3 linked regions of the Arabidopsis thaliana genome follow. The protein of the gene in region 3 interacts with the protein of the main gene of each other region in a pairwise test. Each region holds a gene or a part of one and is shown on either strand. Other genes may lie near its edges.

What was found. The genes of interacting proteins can lie anywhere in the genome.
Region 1: the proteins of KNAT4 (region 3) and OFP12 interact in a two-hybrid assay, tested with the Arabidopsis thaliana proteins (one large-scale study listed by BioGRID).
Region 2: the proteins of KNAT4 (region 3) and OFP2 interact in a two-hybrid assay, tested with the Arabidopsis thaliana proteins (one large-scale study listed by BioGRID).

What each region holds. Positions count from the first base shown.
Region 1 is NC_003070.9:1,588,393-1,594,246, forward strand, and holds OFP12 (ovate family protein 12), read left to right. Parts: upstream 1-1,580; 5' UTR 1,581-1,632; coding exon 1,633-2,361; 3' UTR 2,362-2,620; downstream 2,621-5,854. Other genes in the region: AT1G05430 (uncharacterized protein), read right to left, coding at 5,835-5,854. UniProt on the Arabidopsis thaliana protein: Transcriptional repressor that regulates multiple aspects of plant growth and development through the regulation of BEL1-LIKE (BLH) and KNOX TALE (KNAT) homeodomain transcription factors.
Region 2 is NC_003071.7:12,954,520-12,961,041, reverse strand, and holds OFP2 (ovate family protein 2), read right to left. Parts: upstream 4,598-6,522; 5' UTR 4,451-4,597; coding exon 3,488-4,450; 3' UTR 3,235-3,487; downstream 1-3,234. Other genes in the region: ETC2 (Homeodomain-like superfamily protein), read left to right, coding at 1-105; KIS (tubulin folding cofactor A (KIESEL)), read right to left, coding at 490-591, 860-946, 1,078-1,230; OFP17 (ovate family protein 17), read left to right, coding at 5,959-6,205, 6,293-6,522.
Region 3 is NC_003076.8:3,505,911-3,516,925, reverse strand, and holds KNAT4 (homeobox protein knotted-1-like 4), read right to left. Parts: upstream 7,094-11,015; 5' UTR 6,519-7,093; coding exon 5,946-6,518; intron 5,455-5,945; coding exon 5,334-5,454; intron 5,138-5,333; coding exon 4,953-5,137; intron 4,619-4,952; coding exon 4,487-4,618; intron 4,329-4,486; coding exon 4,192-4,328; intron 3,993-4,191; coding exon 3,959-3,992; 3' UTR 3,185-3,958; downstream 1-3,184. Other genes in the region: AT5G11070 (uncharacterized protein), read left to right, coding at 28-486.

The sequences.
Region 1 (5,854 bases), on a different chromosome or scaffold from region 3:
ATAAAGGCCTTTCGTATTACAAGCATTTATTACTTACCATATTTAAAATAAAAAAACTTACCATATTATTGTCGATCTAGTATATATATATATATAGATCGATATTTCTACGTATAAATAGGGCGATGTTGTGTGACATGTCTCTCAGTCACCACTTTTGGCGGGTTCTCGTCGACAGAGATTGATCAAATCTAATTATTATTGTTGATGATAGAAAGTTGTCATGCATAGATTTCTCAAGCGAGAATATTCATTAATATAGGATTCTCATTTTTTAATTCTTCGCTCTGAAGTTGTAACCTAGTAGCTTGTACTAGGTACATGCCATGTTGTAACATTGGTTAGATATTTGTAAATTTTAGAGGCTTTAAATGCAAAAGATTATATTCGGACTACTCGATCATAAATTTTGGTCTAGTAATCTGCTTGAACATTGATTTTGCGGAGCAATTCTTGATGAGAAGCAATTTTATGATTTTATCCCAAAACTAATCGCGACATGATCATTCGGTGAATTTGTTGCTAGGAGAAACAATGGTCTAAGATAAACTGAAAAAGGGAAGAGAACAAATATTAGTTAAGATTGATCAATGAGAAGTGAAGTGAGTCAGTGTACTTTGCACAAACATCGATCTTTCGTCTTTGAGTCATGAGATGGCCAGTTTAGGTTAGTCCAAACATTGCCTCCTCGTGAGTTCTTGCTGTATATATTTGCAAGGACAATAATTCCTCTTATTTGGCGTTAATTTATTTATTATGTCTAGAGTTCGTAAATGAATTGAAGAAAATTATTTACTAAACAATAAAGGTTTTGCTCTCCCCGCAGAATTTTTGCCTATGACATTAAGAAAAAAAAAGCGTGAAAATATAAAGATAAACAGTACAATTTTGGATTATATTGTTGAAGTTTACTCATATAATTTGTATATGTTGATAATGGAGAAAACATATAAATATTTGCATGTCCGTATATAACCTTATTTCCCTTCTATCAAATCTAAGAAAAAAAACAAATACTTTACGCGTAGGCGCTTTTTCATGTTTAAAGTTTCGATTACCATCAAGATTTGCTTTTTGAGTCATTTTACCTTATACTATATACGACAAAAACTCGTAAATTACCCTCTTATTGTATTTAATTAATTGAAATTTCTAATTCACATTTAAGATATTAATATTTTAATTTATTTTATCAAGATTGTATATTAATAATAAAATAGAAATTTTCATTGTCAACAATAAATATGAATTTTATATCAAATATGTTAAAAATTTAGTTTTAAGTGATATATAACCATTTTCAAGAAAACAAATCTATAAAAAAAAAAGTGTATGAATTACTGAAAGTTGGTATAACTTAAAACCTTCAAACGAACAGACAAAAAACTAAGATGACCGTTAATAATAAGATACTTTTGTAGATCTGTATATTATACAAACAAAATAAGTAAAAATAAGAATTAAAATTATTTTGGTCTTAAGATTCACAGCAAAGCACGATGCATTGTGTAAATATAATACATTATACAAATACATGGTGGTACGTATATAATATAAATATTTGTACATATAAATACAAGCATGATACAATAATAGTATCAAAACAAATTAAGACAACCTAGCTAAATCCACATGCTCAATACATATTCTCTCACTCTCTTTCTCACAAAAACAAAAACAATGCCAAGAGTCATGTGGAAAAACTTCCATCTTTGCTTCCCATCAAATCTCACCAAGCCCTCTTCATCTCCGTCCGGTGCCACCTCCGACGATCCCAACCGTCCATCCATTCTTCTCATCAACAACTTTAACCTCCTATATGACGACTCCTCCGCCGCCCACCGCCGCCTATCCAAGCCTCTTATCCACGACGTTGAACCCTCTTCCACCTTCACCGCCTCCACCTCCACCGCAGCTAACTCTTCTTCCTCCTCTGCCTCTTATGATGATTCCGATAATTACGGTTTTGCCCCTGACGACGACTCTCCCCCTCCTGACTTAACCGCCGTTTTAGCCTCCCGCCGCTTCTTCTTCTCTTCTCCTGGCTGCTCAAACTCAATCACTGACTCGCCAGATCTCCGCTGCCGGGATAATTACGATACTGCCACTAGGCTTCTTACCGGAGGAACCGCCGTGAAACACTACGTGCAATCTCCTGATCCGTACAACGACTTCCGACGATCAATGCAGGAGATGATCGACGCCGTTACAAACGCCGGAGATCTTCGCCGTTACGAGTTCTTGCATGAGCTGTTACTCAGTTACCTCTCTTTAAATGCCGCCGATACACACAAGTTCATTATCAGAGCTTTCGCCGACATTCTCGTCTCTCTCCTATCGGACGGTCACCGGATCAGCTGAGCTGACGTGGCATATATATATTTATTCTCTCTTCATGTTATGTAAAAAGTAACACATGTTATTTATTTTTGTAATGCGTTACTTAGGACAAATAATCAGAACTAAAGTTAATGTAATTATTTTGTAATGATACGATTGAGAAAGTCGAGAGAGGCGTGGGTTTTTGTCTCGATCGCATGCAGTTAGATTCTTCTTTTAATTTGTTTCTATTTTTGTCTTTTTACCCTTTTAAATTAAATAAATTAAATGTTCTGGAGTATATATGGTGAAACTTAAATCATTGATTGGGAAGTTATAGTTCAATTTAACATATTGATGATAAAAAATAGACTTAATTTATACTTTCCGAAATGCATCTCTAGAAGTATATATTAAGAGACGGAAACCCATGGCTTCATTATAAACTTAAAAGTGAAAATTTATTTTGGTTTAAATCATTAAATACACGAACGAAACTTATGAGTTGAAGAAAATTTGTAATGGGTAAAAGCTGAATTGTGATAACTAACAACATTACAATTTTGCTGATTAATTACCAACAAAATAATAATTGTCTAATTGGTATGATGTATGATTGTTAAAAGTTTGTCTTTTGGAGAAACTACCAAGAAAACGCTCGGATTAGTGCCATGACAAACAATGAAAAAGCTACGTCGACTGACAATTGGTACTATTTCTTCTTCTTTCGTAACGTCTCAAATTATGTTTGACATGTATATCGAAGATTGACTTTCTTCTGCTTTTCTTGATGTTCTCACTTTACATCCATATCAAAACAAATTATTTAATCGAAAAACTGTATATGATAAAATTTACATCGATTTATATAGTTTTATTCAGATATTTTAGCCAATGCCATGATTTCTTTTATACGTTGGGGTTTATGCTATTTGGCCAAGATTCATATAGCGTATTAGTTATCTAAAACGCAAGAAGCGCATTAAAATATTGCCAAGTTAGGGAATGGTGCATGATAGACTAAATATATTAACAATAGGTATTCAAATTTAGCTAATGTTGAGATCTATTGTTGTAGGTGATTCTTTCCATGAGATATTTCACATAACACAAGGTGAGACAAAAACAAAATAGGAGAATCCTAAGAGACGGATGTTGGCCGAAGCCTCAACCAATATTATAACAAAGCTATTTTCATCATTAATATTATATATAACATTTTGCTCACATCCCTGATTCATATTCGCAGGACACGACCAACAACAATAAATAGTGTATGAAATAGGGACTGAGACAGTTAATCATTTACTACACTAGAGATTAGAAATCTCAAGGTTTTCAGATAGATATTAAAACAGGCCTTTGATTGCTTCTTCACTCACCATGGCAGCAGCATTCTCCGGATAAGAATCAAGGAGAGCTTCAACATTGGGGATTAAACCGCCTCATCGTCTTTGTCCACGGCTACAATATCATTGGGGGTAATAAAGCGTTGAAGCTGCTTGAAAAATAAACTGACACACAGAGATAGAGAGAGATAGAGGAACACGGTCGCCAAATCGTTTCGATCGCAAATACAACTCTTTCAGTATCATAGATAATTGTGGCCAAATATATAACTTTTGGGTTCTACGCAAAGAGTTAGATGAATTTTAAGGAAACAGTGAGAGATAAAGAACGAGAAATTTACGTAAGAGAAATAATAAGCAGAGTTGGTTGGATGATCTCGATAATCGACTAGGGGTTTCTAAATCACTTATTGAATACATACGCCGATGTTTCCCGCCCGCAAAGAAATTTATATTATTAGGTGGGGCTGAGAATGGGCTTCGCTTTAATGCGCTTAGATTTAAAGGCCTTTGCAGTTTCTATGAATCGGCCTTCTCTGTGCACCAATCCTACTTTTTTTGTTTTTTTGTTTTTTTTGGGGGGCATAATCCTACCTTTTTAATTTTTAAATACCAGTTATACTGAAAATTTGGTTATTTTATACCCAAAATAATAATATAACTAGATTTATTATTGTTGTCGATTTTATTATTTTTTTCATAATTCATTGTTGATTTGTTGGGTAATTATTTAATTTGTTTTTAAGTTTGGTTAAATTATAAATATATGGATTAAGTTGCAAATACATGTTGTTATGTAGTTGCAAATATGTGGGATAAATGATAAAGTTTTATTATCGAATTGCTAATATTTAAAAGTATCAAAACTTATTTAAAACCATCTCAATATATGATCTTAACAACTCCATTTAACTACTCACAATATTAACTTTGTGTTGATTAAAAAATGTAAGTAACCTATAAATAGAGAATATAATTTTTTAAACAAAAGATTAAGATTTTAACAATGGATATTTTGTACGTATAATGTAAACTTTTTATTCTTGTTTTCGATGAACAACGTTTACCGATTAAAGAAGTAAACACAAAGTAAACTATTGAAGATCGTACATGGGTTCTCCTTAAAAATTCTTAAAAATAACTATCTGAATGTCGAGTTTATCGTTGCTCCTTACGAGGTTAATGCACAACTTGTATATTTGGCGAATAATAAAGATAAAGACATTTGTATGTGGTTCTCATTACTGATACTTACCTCGTACCATTTAGATGTCCAAGAGTAAGTTCTCTAATACACTTATCAATTATTATTTTTAATAGCTTGAAAATAAATTTAATGGTCAAAAGATACCTATAATATATTTTTAACTGAAAAATAAAGAGAAATTTATGAAATCTGTTAGTTTTATGTTTTTAATAAGCAAAATAAAATATTTTAATAAGCAAAATAAAAGATTTATGTTTTAAATTATCTAAAAGGTTTTTTTTTTTTTGTAGTTTAAAAAGTAGTACAAAAAGTGTTATGATTCGTCATTAATCATTCCCAAGTACTCTTATTCCTCGATAATTGTTCTTCAATCTCAAATTTACATAAACAATTGAAAGAAATTTATGGATTTATTAATTATATAGCGATTCATATTCAAATTTAACAATAATTTTGGTATTTATTTCTCGTAATTGATACTGCGGTTTCAATCCTAATTTATCCAAACTAAAAACTCTCTTATTTGGTCTTTTTGTACTTCTCTTCCTTTTTTTTTTTTTTTTTTTAAATTTTCTGTCAATTGTACATTTGTTATGACATTTGTTGGCTAAGTGGCGGACCCACGTTATGAGTGGTGGCAAGTGCCCCAATTAACAAATAAATTAAACTTAATGGTAGAGATAAAAAGTTTAGTGGCGTAATGTTTTGGAGTTTGCTAAAAAGTTCTCAAGAGGAGTTCGACACCACGAGGTAATACAGTCCCCCACTATTTTTTTTCCTGGGTACGAAGGTAAAATGAAAAGATCTTATCATCTTCAATAACAATATTCTTACATAATCATCCTTCATAAAATGAGATTCAAAATGATAAATTGGAATAAGAACTTAAGCAATCGATAAAGAGACAAATACATGTGTGATAAACATAAAGCAGAAGAAGCATAATTGTTTTGTTTTCTCTATGCAAGTTCATACTGAG
Region 2 (6,522 bases), on a different chromosome or scaffold from region 3:
ATTATGAGAAACTCTGACTATTTTTCTCACAAACGACGACGTCTTAATAATTCTCCCTTTTTTTCTACTTCTCCTCTTAATCTCCAAGAAAATCTAAAATTGTAAAGAAATCAAAATAAAAGCTTTCAATCATAAAAGTAGAACAAATCTTGAATGTCTTCTCATCATATAAATGGTTCAGAAATTGTTGAATCTCTTCGCAAAACAAATTAGAATAAGATCACCTTTTCTAAATCCGTGCTCTTAATCTTCACTTAGTTTACAATCATGGTTGTCAAAGTTATATCAATTATCAATCGTTAAGTTGCAGCTTACAACACATTATAGCAAGTGTGCCATTTCAAAGATATTGAATGAAAGAACAATCACCAAAATGTTAAAGAAAGATATTTTTAGTGTATACAGTCGACAAGCAACCTTAGATATAAAGATTCTTACAGATGATTAACCATTCTCAGAATACAGATTTAACACTCATCGCTGGCTAAATCAGGCATCTTCAGTGGGAAACTGCTTCTCCACATCCGCGACTGTCTTCTTTGCATCTTCGATCTCTGGACCTTCCTTCTCATCCGTCTCTTCCAATTCCGCCTGCAAATTCAGTTTTCATTAGAGACAAAAGACAGAGTACGAATTCACAGTTTCCTCTGTGTCCTTATTCATCATTTTTCCTCAAAGAGAGACTAAGATGGTTTCATGCAGGGGATTAATCCAATCGCTATAGATACATATAAAAGTTATAGTTTGATAATGTACTACTGCTCTTAAACTTCAAATCACCGCTCAGCGTTTCTTATAAACTAATACATAAAGCTAGACCGACGCTTAGCAAGCAATAACAATGGAAAATGTAGTTTACCAAAGTGGACTTGAGGTCAGCCAATGCAGACTCGAGACGTTTGTGGCAATCCGGAATCATCATCCTAGACTCACCCAACACATTTTCCTGCATCACCACATACACAGATTAGGAAAAACCAAGTCTAAACACAGCACAACACAGCATTTCTAGATTCTGACGAACAAAGACGGGCTCCGAATCTTCGAATACAGAGAGATAAACAATGAAATCTGTACCTGTTGTTTAAGGTCGTAGGGATCAGCACCTTTGTCCTTCATATCAGCAGTCTTAGCCGCTTCTCTCTCAACTTCTTTCTCATAAGAGTGAAGCTCTTTCACAATCCTTTTACATGTTGATGTTTTTATCTTCAAGTTCCTTATCGTTGCCATTGGATTCTGAGCAAGTACCAAACACAGGACAACCAAAATTAGGGTTTCTACATCACCAGCGAAACAACTCAAACGCAACGATTCTATAACTAGGTTTTGCGATCTCCTTTAAACTTCGATGTCGAATTTGAAATTGAAATAGGGCGATTAGATCAAGACTAATGTAGGTGATAATTCTACGATTCGTGCATTGCAATAGATCGGGAACATTTTGGAATTCATCGATTTCTTTTACTTGATTCCGATCTACATTGAGATCGACACAAAGCTAGATTCGATTGAAAATTAAAGGAAGATATACTGTGAAATAGAAGAAGTAGGGTTTAGAAACGAACCAGGCGATGATGGGAGAAGAAGGTTGCTTCCGATGAATTTGAGAGAGAGGACGCGGCGTAGAGCGAGGAGGAATCGAAGAACAACAATATACAGTTTCCGATTTCGATTTCTTCTTTTTCCTTTGCTTTCAATTCTGAATTATTAAAAAAAAAACTTAATACTGGATATGCACTCACTTGTGTGCTCGCATTACGACATAAAAATGTAATTTGAGTTTTATTTCATTTCTTTGACAAAAAAAAAAAAAAAAGTTTTATTTCATTTATTTACCCTTTTTTATAGATATAAAATATGTAAATCAAACTTTTATATCGTACAATTTAAGTATATATTTTGTGTTTTATTATGTCAAGTTCATTCATTAATTTTAAATTTGATACAACAAAAGAATAATGTAGAAAGTCAAGTATACAATGATGGATGAATGGATTTACATAATGCTTTTTTGGTACGTAAACGTTAGTATTTGCTAACAAAGTATTAGTTGCGTTATTTTTTTCAGAACAATCAATCCTAATTTTAAATATTTTTATTAAAAACACTATGATACATATTAATTTACATTATAATTTGTTATTGAAAATAAAAACGGAGCAATTTTGTCATAGGTTTTTTTTTTGTCAACCACACAAAAATGGTTTACAAATTACAATGTAACTTTAAAAAATGGTATACAACTACACTAACAACCATAGGTCACAAGAAACCACACTTGCTATTTTTTCTAGATCCAAATTTCACAATTTAAAACCACACAAATTTTCTAGAAGGAATCAATATTTGGAATGCCATTTAATAAAACTTTAACTGTTATTTTTAAATATATTGAATTTAAAACGAACTTTGAATGTTTGTGTAGTTTTAGACGAACAACTAATTTGTCAAGTTAGCTAGGTGATCAAGATAGAAAAAAGTTCGTGTGAATCATATTTTGTTCATGAAAATTTGGTGTAGTTTATGGTTATGAGGTTATCTCATATCTATGTATAAAATTAGAATGTAGAATTTTGTCTGACATACTTGTTTAAAACTTAAAATTATGATACATATATCACCTATTCTTTTTAATTCTTAACTTTATAATCCAAAACTGCAAGATCATTTAGGCCCATTGATTTGAATATTTGTTGCTTATGTTCACTCAGAAGTCAGAAACCATACCATATCACATGTCTTTTGCTGAAACTTCATAAGCCAACTGTGGTAGGGGATGGAATTTGCAACAGTGGTCCTCTTCTTCTTCTTCATGAGTTCATTCTTCCCTTCTTCACAGAAAAAAAAAAACCCTTAAGGATTAAATCTCATCACTGTTTCTTTCTTCTTTAATCACATCTCAGTTTTATGTGTCAGTGGTCCTCTCTCTACCTTCAACGATTATCCAATGTTCTTCATGCATATATATAAACTCCGTACTTGTTGCGTTTTCAAATTGTTCATGTCTCTTCACTGTTGTCTTTTTCTTGTTGCTGTTTACCGCCATTTTCAACTTTGTATTTTCAAAATATTCAAATGATATTGGCGCAATTAATCCATCTTCATATTCTAAGAAATAATCAAATCTTGAAGCATCATCTTTTGTGAGTAGTTTTATATGTTCATAATCATAGAGAAGACAAGAATATGTTTAATTAGTGATAAAAAAATCTGTCTTAATTAACAGTGTTTTCACGCCCTTAGTGATCATGTTTGTATTAAAACGACAATATGATAACAACTTTTATTATTTGCTTACATTTTCCAAAAAGATAAATAAAGAAAACAATACATAAAAAGTGGGATTCAAAGAGAGAATCTCCACAGTTCCATCTAACTTCTTATGAACATCAACAACAAGTCAACAACTACAATTTCACAAGCAGAATGATACTAATTACTTTCACCATTAGGTTAACTACTATTACATTAAGAATTATTTTTTTCTTTACTTTGTTTTTGTAAGTTGAAGCCAGATTTGTTCGAAAACATGGATGATAAGATCATGATACTCCTTTGGATTCAAAGTAAGGTAGCAAGCAAGAAGGTCTTCCAAGTCTTTCGAAGCTCTGATGTTGTTCTCTTCTATCATCTCAATCATTGATTCCCTGAAATCTTTCTTTGGATCAACGGACCGCTTCATCACAGCGAAGCTCTCTAGAACATCTTGTTTGCTCTCTGATCTTCTAGAAGTGCTTCTACGAGTACCTGAGAGTTGAATTCTAGGTGAATTCACTCTTTTGAGGTTTATCCCAGCAGATGGTTTTCTTCCACTAGAAACTTGCCTTTGGTACTTCTTCTCGGCTTTATATTCATTATCATCTTCATCTCTTGAAATTTTCACAGAAAGATGGCTTTTCTGCGGTTTCTTAATCGGCTTGCTTGCAGTACAAGCTTTCTCTACCGAATCAATCACTTTGACCTTCTGCTTGGTGAAAGCTTTGTTCTTTGTGTTGATCTTGAAGTTGGAAAATTCAACGAACTCATCATCATCATCCTCTTCGTAGAAACTATACACAAAAGACTCAGGGGAGGTTTCAATAGCCGGGAACAAGCTGTAAGACGAATCTTGATCGTTGATCTTGCTCTTGTTGAAACTTGCAGATACAAGAAGAGGAGGAGGAGTCAAAGGTTTAAGGGATGGCTTGTAAAGTGTCTTTCTTTTACTCATCTTTTTTGTGTGAAGAGAGTTTCTTGGTGAGTTATGGTGAGGAGGATTGTTAGCTACTAAGCTGTTGGAGAAATAAGAGTGTTGAGGAAGAGAATCTGAGGAAGGTTTCTTCTTGCTACAAGTGTTTGAGGAAGAAGAAGAAGCTTTGTTTTTGGGTTTAGAGTGTTTAGTCACGTCTTTGAGCTTGTGGAACCATGCATTTGGGAGCATCTCTGAAATTCTGAACTTGTAATTCCCCATCTTGTCTCTCTCTTTTTCACAAAAGTTTGTGATATTTCTCTTAAGAAAACTCTGTTTTTGTTTCCTTAGATAAAGAAGAAGGTGAGAAAGCAAAGTTCTCTATGTGACAGATAAAGAAGAAACTGAAGATTAAAATTGGAAACTAGTGGGGCTACTACTAGAAAAAGCTTAAAGAATGTCTTTTATTAGTATCATCATCATTCATCATCAACATCAACTTGAGACATCACATTTACACGCTTGTGCTCACATAATTAATAAATTTATTTTATGGTGAATTTTTAAAATTGGTTGACTAATTGAAATTGTATTTGGTGAAAAACTGAAAATCATAAGAACATAACTTTTATCTAAAATATTATATAATTAAGGGAATAGTACAAAAATAATTATAAAACAGAGAATCAGTTGCTTCTGATTTCTGACAGATTTCTATCATCATTTCATGGAGATTTTACTCTTCATCGAAATGATAAAATAACTGAAAAATGTAATTAGCGAATTATAAAACAGTAGCAAATGTAAACAGTTTTAAAGAATACACAAAAAGGTTGACCAAATGGCAATTACAAAAGAAAAATACAGCTTCTTTTCCTCGAAGTATGCTTTTTGATTGAAAATATTAAAACGTTTCTAAACGGACAAATCAATTTAATAAATAAAAACAAAGTTTTCACAATTCAACTAAAAGTTTAACATATGTGAATCTATCTAGGTTAAAGACTCAAAGTACACGTTATAATGAAGTTCAATAGTTTCATTTCGATGCTTCTTTGAATTTGGTAAAGTGTGAACCTTATCTTAAGTTTTTAGGTAGAAATAATTTAGTATAGTAGCACTTTATGTTATATTAAGGTGATACAGATACACAAATGATGAAATTAAGATAATCAAATATGTTCCATTTTCTCCTCTGAATAAAGTGGGATCAACTTTTGAGTCATAATAATGAATATGAGAAATTTTTTGGTCTACTTTGTCCACTAACGCCGAACATTTTGAGGACACTTTTTTTCTTCTTCTATACATTTCCACTTTCCAGATCAAATGTTTTGGCAACTACTTATCTTTTAACTTCGAGAAGGAAAAAAATGATATTCAAAAATCAAAATAAAACATTTTCCATCCTTACTTTAAATAAGCACAAGTGATTATTCATATTTAAAAAATGGAGATATTTTCACTAGACGTGGGACTGGTTTATGTTCAACAATGTTGACCTACCAATATATCAACGACTTTTTGAGTATACAAAAACAAAACTATCTCATCATATTGGATTTTGTTTATAAGCAAGAGCCACCAAACATTTGCAATAAGAAAACCTTTTCTATTCTCCATTGTTTTTAAAAACTTCATGGGACTCCACCATCATGATCAGTTTCACACCCAAAGACGTGAACTCCACGCAACACAAGCCAATCCTCTAACCTTATACACACCAAAACAAAACAAGAAGCCAAAGAGGATCACAACAACAACATCATCACCAAAAAAGCTTCAAGACAATGAGAGTGAAAGCAACTTTGATTAACTTCAAATCAAAGCTTTCGAAATCATGCAACAGATTTGTCTCTCTCTTCCGCTTCCGAGTTAAAAGACCTGTCTTTATTAGACCTCTTCGTGCCCGTCATGGCAATGTCAAACCTAGACATCAACATCATCATTCCAAGAAGCCAATCTGTTCTTGTCTCTGTTTCCTCAATTCAAGCAAGAACCATAAGATGAGCAACGCCAAACATAGAAGTTCCTCTTGTAAGACAACTTCGCTACAAAATCTGTTTTAACATTGAAATTTTATCAGCTTCTTGATCTCTTTGTTCTCTTATTTTGCCATTGCAGTTAGTGTGAACGATGATGATTACTCCAAGTTTATGCAATCACCTCTTACGCCAGCAACAGCCAAGAAGCTCTTCACTTCACCCATCACGACACCTTACTCTTCACGGACCAGGAAATCGCTGAACGCAAGAGATACATTTGAAGACAATGCTGTGGAAGATGCTTGTAGAAGCTTTGAAAACTATCTGATTCATCTGATTGTTGAAGAAGGGAAAATAGATGACTTAATG
Region 3 (11,015 bases):
AAAGAAACAAAATTTACAAGATCAAGAATGTATAACGAATGCAGCTCTCCCTCCACCGCAAGATCAACAACGAGAGTCACAAATCACAGAATGAGATCTCCGATCTGTTGTATAGGAGCCAACGCGGTGGTTGAGCCAGAAGCCATGATGATCGGAGGAGAACAAAGAACACCAAGATCTCCTTACGAATGGCTCAAATCTACGGCGCAGGAGCTAGAGTTAAGAGATCGGTGCCGGCGTGTGAAGTCACGTATCAAGGTTACGTGTCGTAACAACAATTGTGCTTATAATAATTGTGTTCATCATCATCATCATAGCCAGAGTTATCCTGGAGATTTCAGTTACGATCCGTTGAGTTACGCGCTCAATTTCGAGGATAATGTGAGAGCTGATGACGATGGTTCTTTTCCTAATTTCACGGCGAGGTTGCCTCAGTCGCCGGTGACCAAGACGAGATCGGCGACGGTTGATTTGATCTCTTTCTGACGGAATAATTAATTACAAAAAGATTCTTTAAAAAAATATCTTTTCGTTTTCTTGTGTGTGACGGTGGAATGTAACTGTTCGCCGGAGAAATGACGTAAGAATATGACGTCAGGTGTATGTAAATGCTCTCTCGCCATATTGATTTGATATACTTGTAAAATTGATGTGTGCAAATAAAAAGCAGAAACATTTTCTATGTTTCTTACAAATTTAATCCATTTCACTTTATGCGCTTTGTTGAATTGTTCATAAACTGTTACGGACAAACCCTAAAATAATGGTGTGGATCTAATAGATGGTTAATCATTGCATATTTGATTCCATCATTTCAAATCTTGATTTGATCTTAGCGTTCATTAATTACCACATTGTATTTAGATGGAACAAGAGATGGTTAGAGTTTTTTATTCATCAAGAACTATAGCAGAGAATGATGAGTGAGGGAGATTTTTGAACTGATGAGGATTAAATCAGTGTTGGTAGAACGGAGTTGAAACGTGAGTCAAGTGAAAAGCTATATATGGGTGAAATAAAGCATTTAAGACTAATTACAGGACAAGAGACGAAAGCTATGAATTAATGTGTCGGCATCATATGAAACTAGCTTGTAGCTAGAAACGTTTGAACTTTATAAAATTTATGATTTATGGATCGTGATCATTGAGACCGTTGAAGCAAGACATTGGTATTTTTTTGGAGCTAAAACACAATTTTTTGGGTATACAACATCAACATATTTATCTTTTTCAAAAAATATAAAAATATTTGTGTAGTCATATTCATATAGTATTAAACTCATGTCGAGAAGAAAAAGGTTTTTATTTGTATAGTATACTTTTAGATAGAACACAGGAACCTGATTCAGCTACTGGAATTATATATGAATATTAATAATTAGAAGAATCAATCTTTACGTTTCGACTAATTATGAATTAGGTTAGGAAAAAAGAACCTTTAGTGTCTGGAAATAGTATTAATCAAAACACAGAGATTCTGGTAAGCTGTCACGGGCATAGTCATACAAAGCTGGTTTAAGATAGTGGATGCCAATTATCGTATTATTTATCCACAACATTTCATTGAAAAAAGAAGTGGAGATACTGAGGATAAGAGTGTGACTGTGTGAAGTGAAGTGAAGTGGGGAAAATTGAAAAAGAAAAGCGAAGCAAAAACGCTTTCTCACATGTTTTGACGTTTGTGTTGTTACATAGTGATACCTACCACTTGCCACCGGTCGACATGTCTCTTTCTCTTCTGATGCCTCAAATCTTGCTCGTTTTGTCTACTATACATTTTTAGTGTATTATACTCTTTTCTACTTTTTCCCTTACAACTATCTCTAGACTTGATCTCCTATCGAGTCACAACATTCAATATCAATCATCGTCATTGATTGTTTCCATTTTAGATATTTGTATCCACCATTAGTCCAGTACATTTTCTATATAAATCCATAGTGTTTCTAATTAACAAATGTATTATGATATGTTTTAAACATATATTTTGTAAATTGTAAAGGTGTAATTTTTTTTTGTCAACTGTAAAGTTTGCTTTATCAAAAAAAAATAATATACTTGCATCGTGTCCCCAACGACGAATATAGATATGCCATAAAAACTAATGAAATCGTGACGTCCTCAACTTGCAATTGTTACCGTACTACATAGATGAATTCCTTCATCGCATATTAAAAAATATCTTAAAATATAATATTAAGATGTAATGTCAAACTTCATTGAACGTTATTTCCTCGTATTGGTGTTCGAGGAAGAGCTTCTTCTCCCATAAATATCCTAATCTTTTAGAGAAACACCAGATGAATCGAATATTTGTATCAATGATTATCCTAATATACTTACATATAAAAAAATCAGAAAATGTTCCTCATAGATTGGCTAACGTGTAACAGAAAGAAGCGCGCGATAAACTAGAGAGAATGTTGAACTTCTTTGTCGTCCTCTCTGTTTATATTCTCTATCTATCCTCCAGTTACCCACTAACACTTTTATTTTGTGTACTTTTTCTGCGTCACTTTCAGATAACGAATCTTTGATATCTTCAGCAATTGTGAATTGATTTTGAAAAGAAAAGTATTATCTATAAGGACAAAAGAGAAGAAGAAGAAGCAAATTGTTTTCGTCGCTGCTGCAACATAACGGATAACACAGAGTCACAGAGAGCTAGCTGTCTTTTATGATTGGGCCAGCTCTAAAATGCTCCTCTCATATGACTGTCTTGTAAGTAGAAGACAAGACCAATCACAAAACCCCACAACGTTCACAATGCCACGTCATGTGCAATCTTATTCTACCTAAAAAGAGACTCTCTCAACTCATACATTATTACCACCACTAATCTAGCTATCTATCTCCATGAAGGATTATAATTGAAGCAAACCTAAATGTGTAAACGGAATTAGAACTAAAGTTATTTATAATCCAATTGATTTTATTATGGTTAAAACAAAACAAAGACCTATGTTTTACTGTAGTCGAATCAAACCAATCCAAAGAAATCGCATTTACTTAAGTTTTACATTGTTAACTAATAACTCGGTCTTAATTGGAAAAACTAAATTTTAACTAAAAATAAAAACAAACTTCTAAAACTATAACTTTTTCATGATCTTATATGGCTATGAGGTATGAACCATTATGTTAATGATTTGTGCTAGTATTGTTGTTAATTATTTCACCAACTTGATTATAAAAAAGAACAAAAAAAAATCTGATTATAGTATGGATAGAAATGGTAGGTCATCACTCAGGTTCAAAACCCTTGCAAGCCAGTTTGTTGATAAAAATGAAAAGTGTTAATCGGCATCCTTAGAAACAAGAGGACTATGTATGAAACGTCGGCGAGCAAACCCTGTAAGGTAGAGAGTCTAGAGACAATGAGGCCCATAATGGACAATAAAGAAAACGCAGGAAAGGGGCCCAAATTGAAAAACTTTATAATCCCTTTTAATAATTTTGACAACGGCGGAGATAATCTCTTTCTTTCGTTTGCTGGCGACCTTCGCAGAGTTTAGATTTTGGCATTAGGGTTAACAATTCCACATAAAAAGTGGTTCCACTCACAAAACAAAACAAAAAAATTGAAACCATTAATTGAGATAATATATTCAAGCTAAATTAATATGTATATTTGTGTAGATTACGGCCAATGATTGCACAAATTAAATGCATAACGAGAAATTTCCATGTTATTCACAAGATATAATGATGGATTGATGGTGGAGAATGGAGATGGCAGTGAAGACTGACGATCCTATCATAAAGTCCATCTAAAACCTCATATTACAAATCATGCTTTGGGGTTTAATTTTGTGTGGCCCTAATCATTACCAAATATGAAAGCCATACCATGTACTGGCACAAAATTACGTCCTACGTTTGTTGTGTAAGAATTCTTTGTCTTCATGCCTCCACCTTTCTATAAAGCTTTTGGATCTCTACATGCAAGCTTGATCTCAACGGTCTCTTCCGCTGTTTTCACCTGCATTGCTTCATAAAGAAAACCCTCCAAATTTAATGACTCCATATATCTTGAAAATGTAACTAAACATTAATCTAACCATACATAAACAAGCTAAACTTTGTCACACCTAACATATATATATTTCAGAGATTGTATCTTATCGTGTGATCATATTTTGTCTTTTCTTGGATACTCTTCCTATAAAGTTATGTTGGTGCAAAGTACCTTCGGCGTTTATTCTTTGAGACGGTAGAAGAAGATGGATTGCTATGCCAATTCCTCTTTCTTTGATTGATGAACCAATTGTTTATCTGTTTGAGCTGCAAACCCGTCTCCTGCACCAACCTCGCCTTATCTTCCTCCTGTCAAAATTTACATGATTCATTTAAAACTTAGGAGATTGAGAAAGCATATGAAGTTGCAAAAATGATGTAGTCAAAGATTTTCGGGACAGAACTAGGTAAAGACCCACGAGGCGTGTTCATGCGAGTGACTGAAGAAGTAGAAAGAGGGAACTCACAGTAGGGTAAGGCCACTTAGAATGAGATTGCCACCATGATTTGAGAACAGAGGTGGTGTCTCCTGGTAATTTTCCAGCTCTTCTCTTCCTCAGTATCTCCTCTCTTATGTCCACAATTTTCTCCTTGTAACCCTTTTCACAAAAACATGGGTCAATATCATTAGTTAAGCTAACTATATATAGTGTGTACCACAATTTTCATGCATATAAGTGCGTGTAAGTACTATGTAGATGTTGCAAACTGACAACTCATCAAACAAGCTTCAGACAATTAAAAATCATAAATTCATTTGAGTCTTTTTGTAGATCAAAAATAAAGTTTTGACAAGTTCTTGGTTGATTGGACTAAATAGAAGCATATTTACTTTAGCTACAACGATATATAATAAGGTGTGAAGGATTTGTTATCATTGATCTTATATATGTGTAGTAGTAAATGATGGATATAGTATATTTCACTAGTTACCTGCTTGAGTTCATGTTTGAGTTCTTGTCTGACTCGTTCCATCAAAGATCTCTCGCTCTCAGTGGGAACTAGAGGACCAAACCCTAACCCATCTAAGCTTCCATCAAACAAATGAGCATCACTCTCTACTTGCTCATCTTCATCCTCAGACATTGTTGCTCCTGTGCCTTCACCAGGAGATACCCCTGTCTCATTCAACAAAACAAGTGTTAAATTAAAACCTCAAGAAGTAGGTACTAAATATAAAAAACAGCATTGAAATGAGAAATAAAATAAAAGAACCTTGTGTCTTTTACAATACTATAGTGAAATACAAAAGTTACCATAACAGCTAAATGACAAATTAAAGTTGATAATTTAGTAGAAGTCTTAAAAACTAACCTGTAAAACTTTGAAGCGACTGTTCAATCTCCCAACAGGCCATAACAGCTTCCATTGCATGAACACGAACATGCTGTTGCAGTTGTTCTTTGAAAGAGCAAAGCAATAGTACATAATGCGTCTGCACAAAAACATGGAAATATCTTTCAGACAACAGATACAATCATACAAATACGTCCATGAACAGTAAAATATGGGATATAGATACAGAAAGTGACAAACTAGTTTTTGTCAGATCACTGTATCCGTAACTGCAATCAATGAAATTGCTCAATCACTTACACTCAGCAAAAATCTATCTCAAAATAAACCTTATGCTGTCAAATTACTACTGTGCAAAACTAATATCCAAATTTTTAACTGACGATTTATCCAACCCACTGATCATGTCTGTCGGTGCAAAGTACAAGTCTAGAAAGAATTTTTGATTTTCTTCTCTAATTTACTTTTATAAATTTGGAGATAATTAACAACAAAATATTCAAATTTGTCAAACCGTTTTAAATATAAAAGATGAAAGTAATTTTTAGTGATTTTATTTTCCAAAAGAAAAGAAAAGGAATAAAATAATGGGAATTGAGAGTGGTAAGAAGGAAAGAGAAGTTAAGTTACCATGAAGTGGTCAAGCTCCTTGTCATCGCCGGCGAGGAGTCCTTGAGCGGCTTCTAAAGTTGAGTACTTAGCCACGACGTTTTGAGACTGAGCAAGCTGTGCGTCTATCCTCGGAAGCTGATCCACCGGCGTTGCGATCCTCAGGCACGCCACGTGTGCCGACAAAAGTTGCTCGTATAGTGGATGAGACAGTATCTCCGCCTTGTGTCTCGCATTCTGCCACCTCTCCGCCTCCTTCTTCTCTCCGATCATTGACTCCTCTCCGCCGGGAACGTCTTCGATGACGTCACCGGATGTTTCGTTGTTGTTGTTGTTTGCGGTGTTGCCTCGTTGGAGGAAGGATGAGGATCGTGAGAGCCACTGGTTAGCGGCGGCGGAAGAAGGAGAATCGGAGCTTGTAGCGGCGGCAGAGGCAGCTGTGTGGAGATTGAGGAAGTTGTTGTCGGAGCGGAGGAGCCAATTAGGGGGTGCTGATTCTTGAAAATGTTGTTGCTGCTGCTGTTGCGGCGGAGGAGGAGGCTGATGTTGTTGTTGGTCGGTGAAATGATTAAAGTGATTGTTATGAAACGCCATCGTTTTCGTGTTGAATTTGTTTTTGAATTTCTGTTTCGGAGAGGGAAAGATGAATTAAGAAGAAAAAAAGAAGAGAAATTCTTAGCTTTGATGTTCAGATTTATCAATCAATTATAGAAACTTTCTTCTCTAAAACAGAAAGAAAATGAAATATAAGGGTTTCGATGTGTATGTGTGTTTGACGGTTTGAATTTTATATGTAGCTTACACCAAAAAAGACGATTTATTCCTATATTTATTCTTCTTCTTTTATTATTAAATTGTAGAGTACCAGCTTTTTGGTGATCCATAATAAATTGGGATTAGGTCAGATTACTAACATTTACAGCGACAACAAAAAGTTTTATCGTTTTACAAAAAAAAGAGATGGTAGAAGTTGACGGCAAAAGAATGATACGAATTACGAAGTGACAGTAAAAGGAAATAGCTGCATCACTTTTTCTTCATTCGTTCCTAACATTTTTTTCTGCTTATCAAAAAGAATTGCTCATTTTTGCTCTATTTGTTTTTGGTACCAAGCAAAAGTAAATAAATTACACAAATCTGCAAAGGATTTTAAAACAAATTTTGAAGAATATCGGAGGAAAAAAAAGATAATTTGTTAAAGAAAAAGGAGAGTAGACGAATGGGAAAAAAGCAAGGAAGGAGGGGACCATTAATAATGACGTCACTACTCGGCGCCAAAAATATCGGAGGACACGTGTCGTGATAACGATTTCCTCTAATTGTGGTCCCTGAAGAAATTGGCATGCGATAGATCGGATAAGAGAATCCAGCCGTACAAATTTAAATTTTACATTATTTTGTATTTAGTAACAAAAAAAATACAAACGATTCAAAAATTTAGAGGTGTGGGGGACCAATTTCAGAAATTTGACTTAAGCTTATAGTTGCTGTCTTATCAAAAAAGTACGACAAATTTAATCCCATCATCAGAAAAAACATAAAATTTGCATATTAATTTTGGTATGAACTCATGACTTCTGCTAAAAAAACATGATTACAGATACACGATATCAAATGTTTGGCATACACATATTATCTAGGAATAAATATTTCAGATATTATAGAAACATACATATACTTATACTTTGTTAATTTGATCACTAAGCATTGACAAAATAAACAAATAAATAGATTATATACTTATGTTACAAGCATATAAATTTTTGCATGTGGTTCCAAATGTTTTTAATATGAGAATTGGAAGCAATACAATATAAATATCCATCGATTTGTATCAAACCCATCTAATGTACTTATTAGGAATGTGATGCAAAACAATTCGTAACCGTCTAATTAAGCTCCATCACTTAGACTAGTCTAACCTATATCCACGACCACTCCTGTCTCTACCTTGTTAAAAGTAATTTAACTTTAACCTACTCATACTTTGATCAAGCTTCGTTACTCATACTTTGATCGAAGTTGGTTTCTCTATCTCGTATACCAATTGTTCAGTTTAAATTTATTCTTTGATTTTGTATTCATAAGAAAAGTTAAATCTTTTGTTGTCAAGTCAAAATTTAACCGGTAAAATTGGCATTAATATATGAAAGTAGACATTTCTTAGAACTATCCAATGATTAGTGGTAATTTATTGAAGGTTGGTGGCCATTGACTGCTTCCAAGATTTGGCCATTGAGTGTTCTATTTGCGTGCGATACACGCGAGAGAGCCGATGAATGAGACTAAACGACAAAGTTGAATCCACCAAAATATCCAAACAGTAAGGTCTGAGTGATGATGAATAAAAGAGTAGAGACATGTGTCAAGTAAACTTCCAGTGTGATAAGGTCTATGTTTCGTGTGGAATCAGCTAACACATGATTGGACAAAGAGAGTCACATTAACGATCACAGTCGTCCATTTCACAACAACTCTTGTCGTCCCTACACTCTTTTCTACGAGAAACGACGAAGTTCCCTACGGCCTACGGCTCCAACTAATCACTCCTTCATTTTTATTTTTATTTCCTTACCTTATGGTTAGTGAAACATGAAATATATATATAAAAATCTTGTAATTACAATGTGCCAAGTTAATTGTAATCACCAGTAAATCTTGAACTCGTGATATGCATTGTGCTTTCGGACCTCGAGATTACTGATTGAACGACCACCACCGATTATTTTTTCTTTTTTGAATAAAAATCACCGATTATTTCTTATTTCACATTCACATAAACAAGCCTTGGATTTGGACCTACTTAATTATATTGATTGTCTAGGACCAAAGCTAAGAGTAGGGTGGTACAAAGAATCTTAATCAACAACTTGTGCTGTCTATATTAGGGACAGAAACAAAATCATTAATTAATTAGTTAATGATAATTGGGGTTGTTAGCAAAAATCTTGTCTAGTTTACAATTTTTTTTTTTTTTTAAATAGTCATTGATACATAAGCCAATGAATCTTCTTTATGGAAACACTAATCTATAGTGGTTTGCGATTGATTTTTAAACTTTATTGACTAACAAGATTATTAAAACCGTGCATTTGCCAATCAAACAAACAAAAACTAATATGGAACTTATATGAAAATTTTATAATATATAGACGCAGCTAGCCTTGAATAAGTATGTGATGATCGTAGAGATTGTATTTGATCGCTGGCCTGGTGACTTGTCAACTATCGCCATTTGATTATATTTATCAATATTGAACACAAGAACTTAACACACAAGACAAAACAATGTCATCTCAGCAAAATAAAGATATTCAGTTTTGTTGGAATTTTTTTTTTCTTTCCTAAAAGATGTTTGTAGAAACAGTGAATCTAATACGAGGATGATGCTCATAATGATGATGCTTTCTTTTGTTAATTTGTTTTGTTGTACACTACTTGGCTTGTGATAGATGAAAATTACAAGGAACCTAACAATATAGACAACATATACATCAAAACATTGAGTTAAAAGAACATAAATACTTTATTTTATTATAAAGATAGAGTAGAGAAAGAACATAGGAAGCTTTTTGTCAGGTTTGTGGATGAAAATGATGGAACGTAAAGGATGTTTTCTCTTCATCTTTCACTTTGTTTTGTAACGATGCCAAAGTTGTTCCTATAGTGAATTACTTTCTCTTATTGCTTTGATTATTGTTCGTAATTCACATTATAGCGTATTAGAGTAAGTCTAATACGCCCTAACAGTTCCTTTGTTTGAGAGAATTTTCTTACATAGGATTTTTCTTTTTCTTATATCTTATAATTTTTTAGTAAGTCTAATACGCCCTAACAGTTCCATTATATTAATGTATACTATAGAGTTTTTCATGTTCACCGCGATCATGTACTATCCAGTTTTTAATAAATATACGCATTGAGAGGGGGGAATGTTGTTGGATGAAATTTATTGAGAGAGATAACTGGGTTATGTTTTCTTTCAAAAGCAGATAATAAATTTTTTTTTGGTAAAACAATATGTTATGTGAAAATAGATATACATATAAAACAAATTTTAATTGGTTCAAGATTGACCATATAATGGCATGCACTCATATCGTTAATGTCTCAAAATCCATATTCAAAGTTGTATAATGCATGTTATTAACAATAAAACTGGTTAATTAAAGATATTGTGTAAGTCATATCGGTACAAGACACAAAAACCTCATTTATCAAATTTTATTAGAATCTGATCTTCTGCTCCAAAAAGATAGAGAAAACAAATCGTAGTCCCCTCCATGATATAAAAGAAATCTAAATGATCATATCAAATAATAGAGAAAGTAAGGGAAATGTTCAAACGATCCTACAAAAAGAAGATAGAAACGTTTCAAAGTAGACAAAACGGAGAAAAGAAGAGTGATTTGGCCTCTCTTGAGAAAGAGAGATTGGGGTTATCCACATTGCTGAACAAGTCTTTGGTTCTTCTTCTTACTCAATTAGTTCTTTGGTTTTGGTGAAGACATTGTTGTGTTGTGACCATTACTTATTGTGCCAAAAGAATATAGAGTTATGACTGGTGAAAAGTCTCCTTTCTTTCTATAAAAATACTTTATTTTACATGTTTCTTACAACGTTAATTTTATATATATTTTAAAGGATATCTTTGGACAAATAAAAGATAAATTAAATCAGCTATGATGCTTATGTTTTTAGTGACGTACTGATGTGTGTCTCTTACTCGTTAATATAGTGTGATGTTGAGTATGTATTGTTGTGAGCATGTAAAAGTTTAATGAGTTCCATGTCCATGTTATTTTGAAGTTTCATGAGTTTCTTCTCATTTTAATTAGGGTAATTTTTTTGAAAAAGTTTTGTAAATTTAGGATAATTTGTGTATTAACACTAGTTATACATATATAATATTTTAATATTGATGGATAACAGATTAAAGAAAAAAATATGTCATACATAATCAGTGAGTCATGCAATATATATATTTTGTCAGAAACAAGAGTTCATTCTTGATCAAATAATGTTGTAAATGTGTCCCCATCCAACCTTTCTCTTATATAACTTTTGATGAGATGTATAAGCGAAATAAGT